2 linked regions of the Arabidopsis thaliana genome follow. The protein of the gene in region 1 interacts with the protein of each later gene in a pairwise test. Each region holds a gene or a part of one and is shown on either strand. Other genes may lie near its edges. The genes, in order: MYB94 and AT3G56520.

Region 1 (4,809 bases):
GAGTCTATATAAGCACAGTTTAGTTAATTGTATACTGACGCCAAAAGGAAATTAATTGTAAAAAGATGTATACAATTTTGTTTTTAGCTAAGGATTCTCTCTTCTTGGTTTATTCACGTTGTTACCCAAAAGTTCTGACTTAGTTTCTATGCCTTTCTTTACCCTCTAAAAAATGCAAAGCAATCAATATTACTCATCGGAATATTACTAAGGAGTTTTTTGGGTTAACCAACCCCTACAAAGATTTTGGGTGAACATGGACATATATTGGCTGAGAGTAAAATTGCTTCCCTAATCTTGTAACTAAACGAAACGTTGGTTTAAAACTCGCATACTAATAACTTTTAGTTGCCAATTCACTTGATGAATGAGTGCACTCAATTGCTTATATCGAAGCATATATACTATATTAATACAATTTTTTTTTTCTTTTTGCTAAGAATATCATTATTTTATAAAAAATGTACTTAGGTCTACAATAATTGAAATGTAGACCTAAAATGTTGAAAATATTTTCTTATCTTCAAATACCTTAATTCTTATATAAAAAGAAATCGACGCATAGCATGATACTCAGCCTCGGTAAAATTAAAAGCATAATCTTAACCTTAAGAACCAGACAAGAAGTTTTCTGTTGAATTCTAATCAATATTATAAACGATACCAACAACGTAAAATAATTTCGAAATATACAATTCAATTTCTGATATTCAGTATTACAATATAACTAGTTATACTTTAACAACAAATAAATATAACTAGTTAGAGGTGTCTATGTGACGATTTTAGTCAAAATTATTAATACCATCATCCTCGGGACATGGGTTACGTAATACAAAAAGACGTGGCGTATGGGGTTTCAACCTATTTTGTTCAATGAAGTCTCTACGGTCCGTTGAATTTGTATCTATTGTACGTAGTATCTTCAGACGATTTTTTCATATTGTATTATATAATATTTATGTTAATTATTTAGATACGTATAATATTATTTCCTATCCAATTTAAAAGCTCAATACACAACGACGACGCGCTTTGCAACATTCCTCTCGTTTCTTGTAAAGTTTTTGAAATCCTTAAACTGATTTTTAAACCAATTCTTAGTGTATGAGATTACAATCATTATTGTTTTACAAAAAAAAAGTTTATCGATCTAAATATACCAACAAGTCCAACATCACCAAAAGATCTATATGTGTGGACATTTTCCTTATTGGGAATGTGGGGATATGTGTTTCGATTATCTTTTATCAACCGTTCAATTCAATTACCTACAAAAGCTCACAAGTCACACCTGACACCACTAATTAACATTTTTACATGTTCGACTAAATTCGCATCAATTCAAATTTAACTTCTTTTTTTTCTTCTTTTAAATAATAAATTTTGCTACTTATTCTGTGTTTTGTTGATGTCTATATTTGATTGTTCATGAGAATTTGACGGGATTGAAACCAAAATATTTGGTTTGATTTTAGTTAAGTTCACTCAATTTTGATATATGCTAAGTCGACTTATTAAGTGGTTACTAGTTTTATATATTTTGAGATCATGTAATAGTTTTCATATGATATGTATACCAATTTGATCACAACATAACTCACAAAATATCAATATTTTTAGAGAGACAGATAATTAGTTTAAATTCCGGTTGGTTCTCAATAACGCAGGAAGGACATTGTAAAATCATGCCACATATATGCATGCAAGTGGAAAATCCAAATTTACAAATTCATATTATGAAAATCCTTTTATTGTTTAATTCATGTATGCTTTTCCAAATGTATAATTAGAAGGTTTAATTACATAAATAGAAGTTATATACTCATTTCACTCTCATTGTGGACCCATGCATAAATGCAATCAAAGTCTTTGAAGTCTAAACCCAATCAAATTGATGAACACCTAATAAAATGATACATGCACATATGTTCTCGTGTGGAGACAAAATTAAGGGTTTATTTGCGATAATATGAAATGACTAATTACAAAGAGAAAATAGTAGGCTAATTTTAGAGAGAGAAAGCATGGAGTAATGGTGGAGAGAGAGAGAGAGGAGGCTGACTTTGGAGAGCAAGAGAGTAAATGCATTTGGCTGTCCATGTTGACTCTTTGATAGCAAAACCCCACTCTTCATTATTGTTACTTTTAACTCTATTATTATTGCTACTAATTCACTCTTCAGCTTAAACCTCTCTCTCTCTCTCTCTCTCTCTCTCTCTCTCTCTCTCTCTCTCTCTCTCTCTCTCTCTCTCTCTCTCTCTCTCTCTTTGGCTGTATAAATATACACAAGCTCTCTCTCCACATCTTCAGACAAAACCAACCACCACTTGTACCTCTTTGTCTTAAGTACTCTTTAACCCTACAATTTCCTAAGCTCTCAAGCCACAAAAAACCACAAACCGTTCTTCACCAATATATATATCTGATCATCATCAAAGTCCTTCTCTCTGCTCATACCACAAACCGTTCCATTCTTCCCCTAATCACAAAGTGATATTTACATAGAGAAGATAGAGATGGGAAGACCACCATGCTGTGACAAGATTGGAGTGAAGAAAGGACCATGGACACCAGAGGAAGATATCATCTTGGTTTCTTACATCCAAGAACATGGTCCTGGAAACTGGAGATCTGTGCCTACTCACACAGGTATCTTCTTCTATCTTAATATTATGTTTTTTTAATGAACAATAGTAATATTTTAATTTCAATTGTTAACCCCTATACTCTTCAGAAGTACCCTTTAATGTTTTTTGTTTTTTTCTTGGGTTTGTGATTGTTTTGTTCTGGCTTCCACTTGGTTGGTATGATCATTTAATGAAAAGGAAAAATTGTAATAATATCCGATTTATGGCACCAGCTTTTTTGTCCATATATCACAAATTAATTACTCTTTTAATGAAATTATCTTGTTGTTGTTGTGGTGATTTAGGTTTGAGGAGATGTAGCAAAAGCTGTAGATTGAGGTGGACTAATTATCTTCGACCTGGGATCAAGCGTGGAAATTTCACCGAGCATGAAGAGAAGATGATTCTCCATCTTCAAGCTCTTTTGGGAAACAGGTAAATACATACATATTCACATGCACATGATCTATAAAAGTATACAAATTCTTTTATTTTTTTGGGTATGCATAAAGATAAGGTTTTGAACTTTAAATAACTTGGGGACCAAATAATTATGAAGGTGGGCAGCTATAGCATCATATCTTCCAGAAAGGACAGACAATGATATAAAGAACTATTGGAACACTCATTTGAAGAAAAAGCTCAAGAAGATGAATGATTCTTGTGATAGTACTATCAACAATGGCCTTGATAATAAAGACTTCTCCATATCAAACAAAAACACTACCTCACATCAAAGCAGCAACTCCAGTAAAGGTCAATGGGAGAGAAGGCTTCAGACAGATATCAACATGGCTAAACAAGCTCTTTGTGATGCCTTGTCTATTGACAAACCACAAAACCCAACTAATTTTTCTATTCCCGATCTTGGTTATGGTCCATCATCTTCTTCGTCCTCTACCACCACCACCACCACCACCACGAGAAACACTAATCCATACCCATCTGGGGTCTATGCTTCAAGTGCTGAGAACATTGCTCGTTTGCTTCAGAATTTTATGAAAGACACACCAAAGACCTCGGTGCCCTTGCCGGTTGCAGCCACCGAGATGGCTATCACCACGGCAGCTTCGAGCCCTAGCACAACCGAAGGAGACGGAGAAGGGATTGACCATTCTTTGTTCAGCTTCAACTCCATAGATGAAGCTGAAGAGAAGCCTAAACTAATAGACCATGACATTAATGGTCTAATTACACAAGGCTCTCTTTCTTTGTTCGAGAAATGGCTCTTTGATGAGCAAAGCCACGATATGATCATCAATAACATGTCACTAGAGGGTCAGGAAGTGTTGTTCTAGAAAGCATTAAAGTTTGACGATTTGCTTGAGGAACCACGAGGCTTAGTTATAAACAATTTGTATAATTAAGTACTCTTTAGTTTTGTTTTCAATCCTTATTATGATCATATTGCAGTAATTAGGGATTTTAGTCTTTAGTAGTAACTCTTAAGTTTTAACACATTTTTCTCTATCTTTTTAGTAGTAACTCTTTATTTTTTCCTTAAATCTTTGTCGACGTGGAGATGATATCTTCTATGTAGTAGAAACTCAAAAGTGTACATCATCTTTATTAATGTAACGTCTTTTTAATCGTGTGACTCATTTGGTTATACAAATTCATGTCACTTAATTAGTATTGATATGGTTAGGTTTCAGATTTTATGTTTCCATAAACTTCAATCAGTAGGTAGAACAAACTTTTCTCCTCATTCATTATATAGATTAAGATTACTTTAAACTGTTTAATGTACTAAATAATGAAGTTCTATAATAAAGATATAGGTTCTTTTACTGGTGAGATATTTCATTAAACAAACAAAAAATGAGTTGTTACTAAAAGAAAATTAAAGAGCAAAATCTAGTTTTGTATCCGATTATAGGAGGCAAAATCTAGTGATTCATAGAATTATGTAAAACTAATAAAATAAAGCTGCTAATTAACAGGAGAGGCAAAAAAAGAAGAAAAAAGTAGTGAATTTAATGCAGAAGAAAATGTGAGTGTTTGTTTGACTTATGCCTGTGTTGAGCACAACGAGCATGATCCAAGTAGAGATGCTTTACCTTAGAGACATCACACATATTTTAATGTCACACTGTCTCACACCCAACTCGTTGACTTTTTTTTTGCTTGAGTCTCTAATAAATTTCGGGCTTAGTAAATTAATTGGCTGAAAATGGAA
Region 2 (3,316 bases), 3.4 Mb from region 1:
CGCCAGGTTATAGATTTGTACCAAAGGACCAAGAACTCATCTTTCATTACTTGAAACCCTTTTCGCAAGGCAATAAATGCTCATTGCTCAATGTTCCTATCCATCGTGTGAACATCTACGAGTCAAATCCACAACATCTTTCAGGTTTGTCTCCGTCAATGGCTCTGTTCTTTATTCTCTAATCGTGGTTTATGTATATAAATGGCTCTGTTCTTTTGAATTCAATACAGAGAAATATGAGAAGGGTAATGATAAAGATTGGTTCTATATATCGGAGAGGACCAAGACCGGTAAGGCTGGAAGAAGTAATAAACGTGTCGACAATGGAGGATATTGGAGCGCAACTGTAGCTGCCCAAAAGATCAACGCTGGAAATGGCATAGTCGGCTACAAGACTTCACTAGAGTACTATGTTGGGAAACAATCAAATAGTGTCAAAGGGGATTGGTTAATGCAAGAGTACTGGTTTGAGTCTTCTGATGATAACAACAACGAGAAGGTGAGGGTAAGTGTCTTTACTTGGATTCCAAGTTATTAGGATTCGTGACTTTTGGATTTATTGTGTTTTGTTTTGGTTGGTGTGTATAGGTGGATCATGCTTTGTGCAAGATTTATCTGACTCCAGCGGCAGCAAAGAAGAAGAAAGCTGAGGAAGCAGAGAATGAGAAGCTGAAGAAAGAAGAAGACGTTGAGCAGCTGGATTTGAATCAACCAGACCAATTGCAGCTGCAACAGCCTCATGATATTGTGTATCAACCGCAGTATTGTTTACTTCCAGAACATCATCAGCCGCAGCCTTTTCCTGATAACTTTTCTGAGTTGATCAGCTTTCAACAGCAACCAGTGATGATCCCAGACGATTTTGAAGATTTCTTGGCTGAATTCACTAAACCACATTCACTGGATGGAGATGAAGAATTCAACAATTATGGTTTGTTTGAAGGCTTCTTTGACACAGAAGGAATGATAAAACATTAAACTAACTGATCTCAATCTGCTCATACTTTGTCATTTTGGTTTTTGTTTTCAAACACCAAAAACAAAAAGAAAACTAACTGATCTAGCTTTTGTGCCTTTATGAGTTTTGTTATCAGAAAGAAAACAGAGAGAAGATTTCATTAGTTTTTTTGCTAAAATTTCATTAGTTGCTATCGGCATTGTTTTTCAAAACCAGAGATAATTCTCCCTGTCTTTATTGCTTTTGATGCCTTGATCATATAAAACATTTATACACAATTTGTCCAACATTTTCTTACCGTTTTAAACTAACACATACAAATATAAAACACCGGTGTCTTCTTCTTCTTCATTTCCTCCTCTAAACATTTGTTTAGTTTATAAGCACGCAACAGTGCCACCCCCAAAATTTCTAATTTTTAATATTTTAATGGACTGCCCTCTTTAAGAAATTAATTCTGCCCCCATTAAATGAATCACTTCTCAAAACAGAAAGTTATTTGCAATTTATATTTCCTTACTACAATACAATCAATATCTTTTATTCAATATAATTTGTTCCTTTTCCTTTTCTTAATTGATTTTTGAAGATAGAAAATCAATCTTTATTTATTTGACTAACTACTTTTTCAATTTGTTGAAGTACTAAATAGTTATTAGTTATTACTGATCTTTTATTCTTAATGTAATCAAGTCTTTTTATGGGGGAAAAAGTATTAAAAATTTTCATTTCATAACTATCTTTTATTTTCATATAAAATATTGTTTTCAAAGTTAGTAACTCATAAGATTGTGACATGTGTCAAATCTATTGATCTTAGATTTTGACATTTGTAAAAAGAAAATTTCCTTCTATTAATTTTAAAACTATAAAAAATAATTGTGTGAAATTACAAATTAAAAATTATAAATAAGATAACTAAAAAAGCTATTTAAAAAAGAAATTATAAATAAGATAAATAAAACAAAACTTTATGTATCTTATTAAAAAAATAAAATTAAAAAAACGTTTACTTACTCTAATTTTAAGCTACTAATTATTAAACAAAAAGGACTACTTTTTATTAATGGGATCTATAAATAGGTAGCTCACCATAGCAACTTTTATTCATCCTCGATCAATAAACAAGCTTTTAGAATTCTAGTTTCAGTTTGCTTCAATCACAATTTCACCTTCTTCTTTTCTTTTTTTTGCTAAGAATGGAGCCAACACACAGAGCTTTGCCCGTAGGATTCAGGTTTCGTTCTACAAACTGTGAGATTTCAAACTATTTTTTGAAGAAAAAAGCTTTAGGACAACCCATGAAAGCTCGTACGATACCTGAAGAGTGTCATGATATCTTCTCAAGACATCCGCATGATCTGCCTGGTGAGAATTCGTGGATCTAAACTTTTATAAAGACAATGTCCATCTTTAATCATCCTGTGAAAGAGCCAACTGAATTTTCTTTGTTTCCTTCTTTCAGGTTATCCAAGTGAAGAACATTGGTACTATTTTTGCAGAAAACGTGACAACCAAGTTACTAGTAACTCTCATAATCTCTGGACACCAATCGGAGAAGAAACCAATGTGCTAGATCCAAAGAATAATGATGCATTAGTTGGTATTAAGCGTCGGTTTACTCTTATTGCGCAAGAAGAAGAAGAATCTGATAATATTTGTTTATCTGATGATGAAGAAGCTTTAAAGTATAATTGGTTCATGGATGAAATTAGCCTCCCACAAACAGTAGCGAATACTGATTGGGTTTTATGCCATATTTTTGGCAAGAAGACTAAACCCGAAACTACTGATTTGTCCACAATCGATTCCGAATCCGAATAGACTGCAAAGGTTTTTGATCCTATATGACCTCCAGTTCCTTCTCTGCACCTTAGCTTCTCTTCTTTATATATATATATATATATATATATATATATATATATACATGTTGGTTGGATTGTAAAGAGTTTTGACTAAAAGATCTAAAACATTCTCACTTTTTCACTAATAAGTAACATCTCCAAACTTTTAATACGAGAGTTGGGCCAGTTGCATAGAATTAGCCTCTCTAACACTAATCAAAACATTACAATATCGTTTTACAAAAACATTTCAGCAACAAAGTTCAGAATTCAGGTTCTGTAGACTACTCATAAGTCGATAACCCGAATGTGATTTGACCTGATTAACCGAAATAACGATAACCGGATACCAAGAATACCGGTTTTGTACATTATCGTTACAAGAACCGGATTTATTTAACCCTAAACAAGCGAACGAAGTTTTACACACCACCGTCTTCTTCTTCTTCCGAACGGAGAGTACTAGTTGTTCGCCGACGGCACTAGCTTCTTTTTCTTTCTCACTTTCGGTAAA

The links.
Region 2: the proteins of MYB94 (region 1) and AT3G56520 interact in a two-hybrid assay, tested with the Arabidopsis thaliana proteins (one large-scale study listed by BioGRID).

Annotation. Positions count from the first base shown.
Region 1 is NC_003074.8:17,538,746-17,543,554, reverse strand, and holds MYB94 (myb domain protein 94), read left to right. Parts: upstream 1-2,247; 5' UTR 2,248-2,519; coding exon 2,520-2,652; exon of another isoform or gene 2,653-2,820; coding exon of another isoform or gene 2,821-2,935; coding exon 2,936-3,065; intron 3,066-3,189; coding exon 3,190-3,928; 3' UTR 3,929-4,266; downstream 4,267-4,809. UniProt on the Arabidopsis thaliana protein: Transcription activator involved in the activation of cuticular wax biosynthesis under drought stress. Binds directly to the promoters of genes involved in cuticular wax biosynthesis. Transactivates WSD1, KCS2/DAISY, CER1, CER2, FAR3 and ECR genes.
Region 2 is NC_003074.8:20,946,573-20,949,888, reverse strand, and holds AT3G56520 (NAC (No Apical Meristem) domain transcriptional regulator superfamily protein), read left to right. Parts: upstream 1-2,157; coding exon 2,158-2,326; intron 2,327-2,423; coding exon 2,424-2,782; downstream 2,783-3,316. Other genes in the region: NAC064 (NAC domain containing protein 64), read left to right, coding at 1-144, 231-499, 589-978.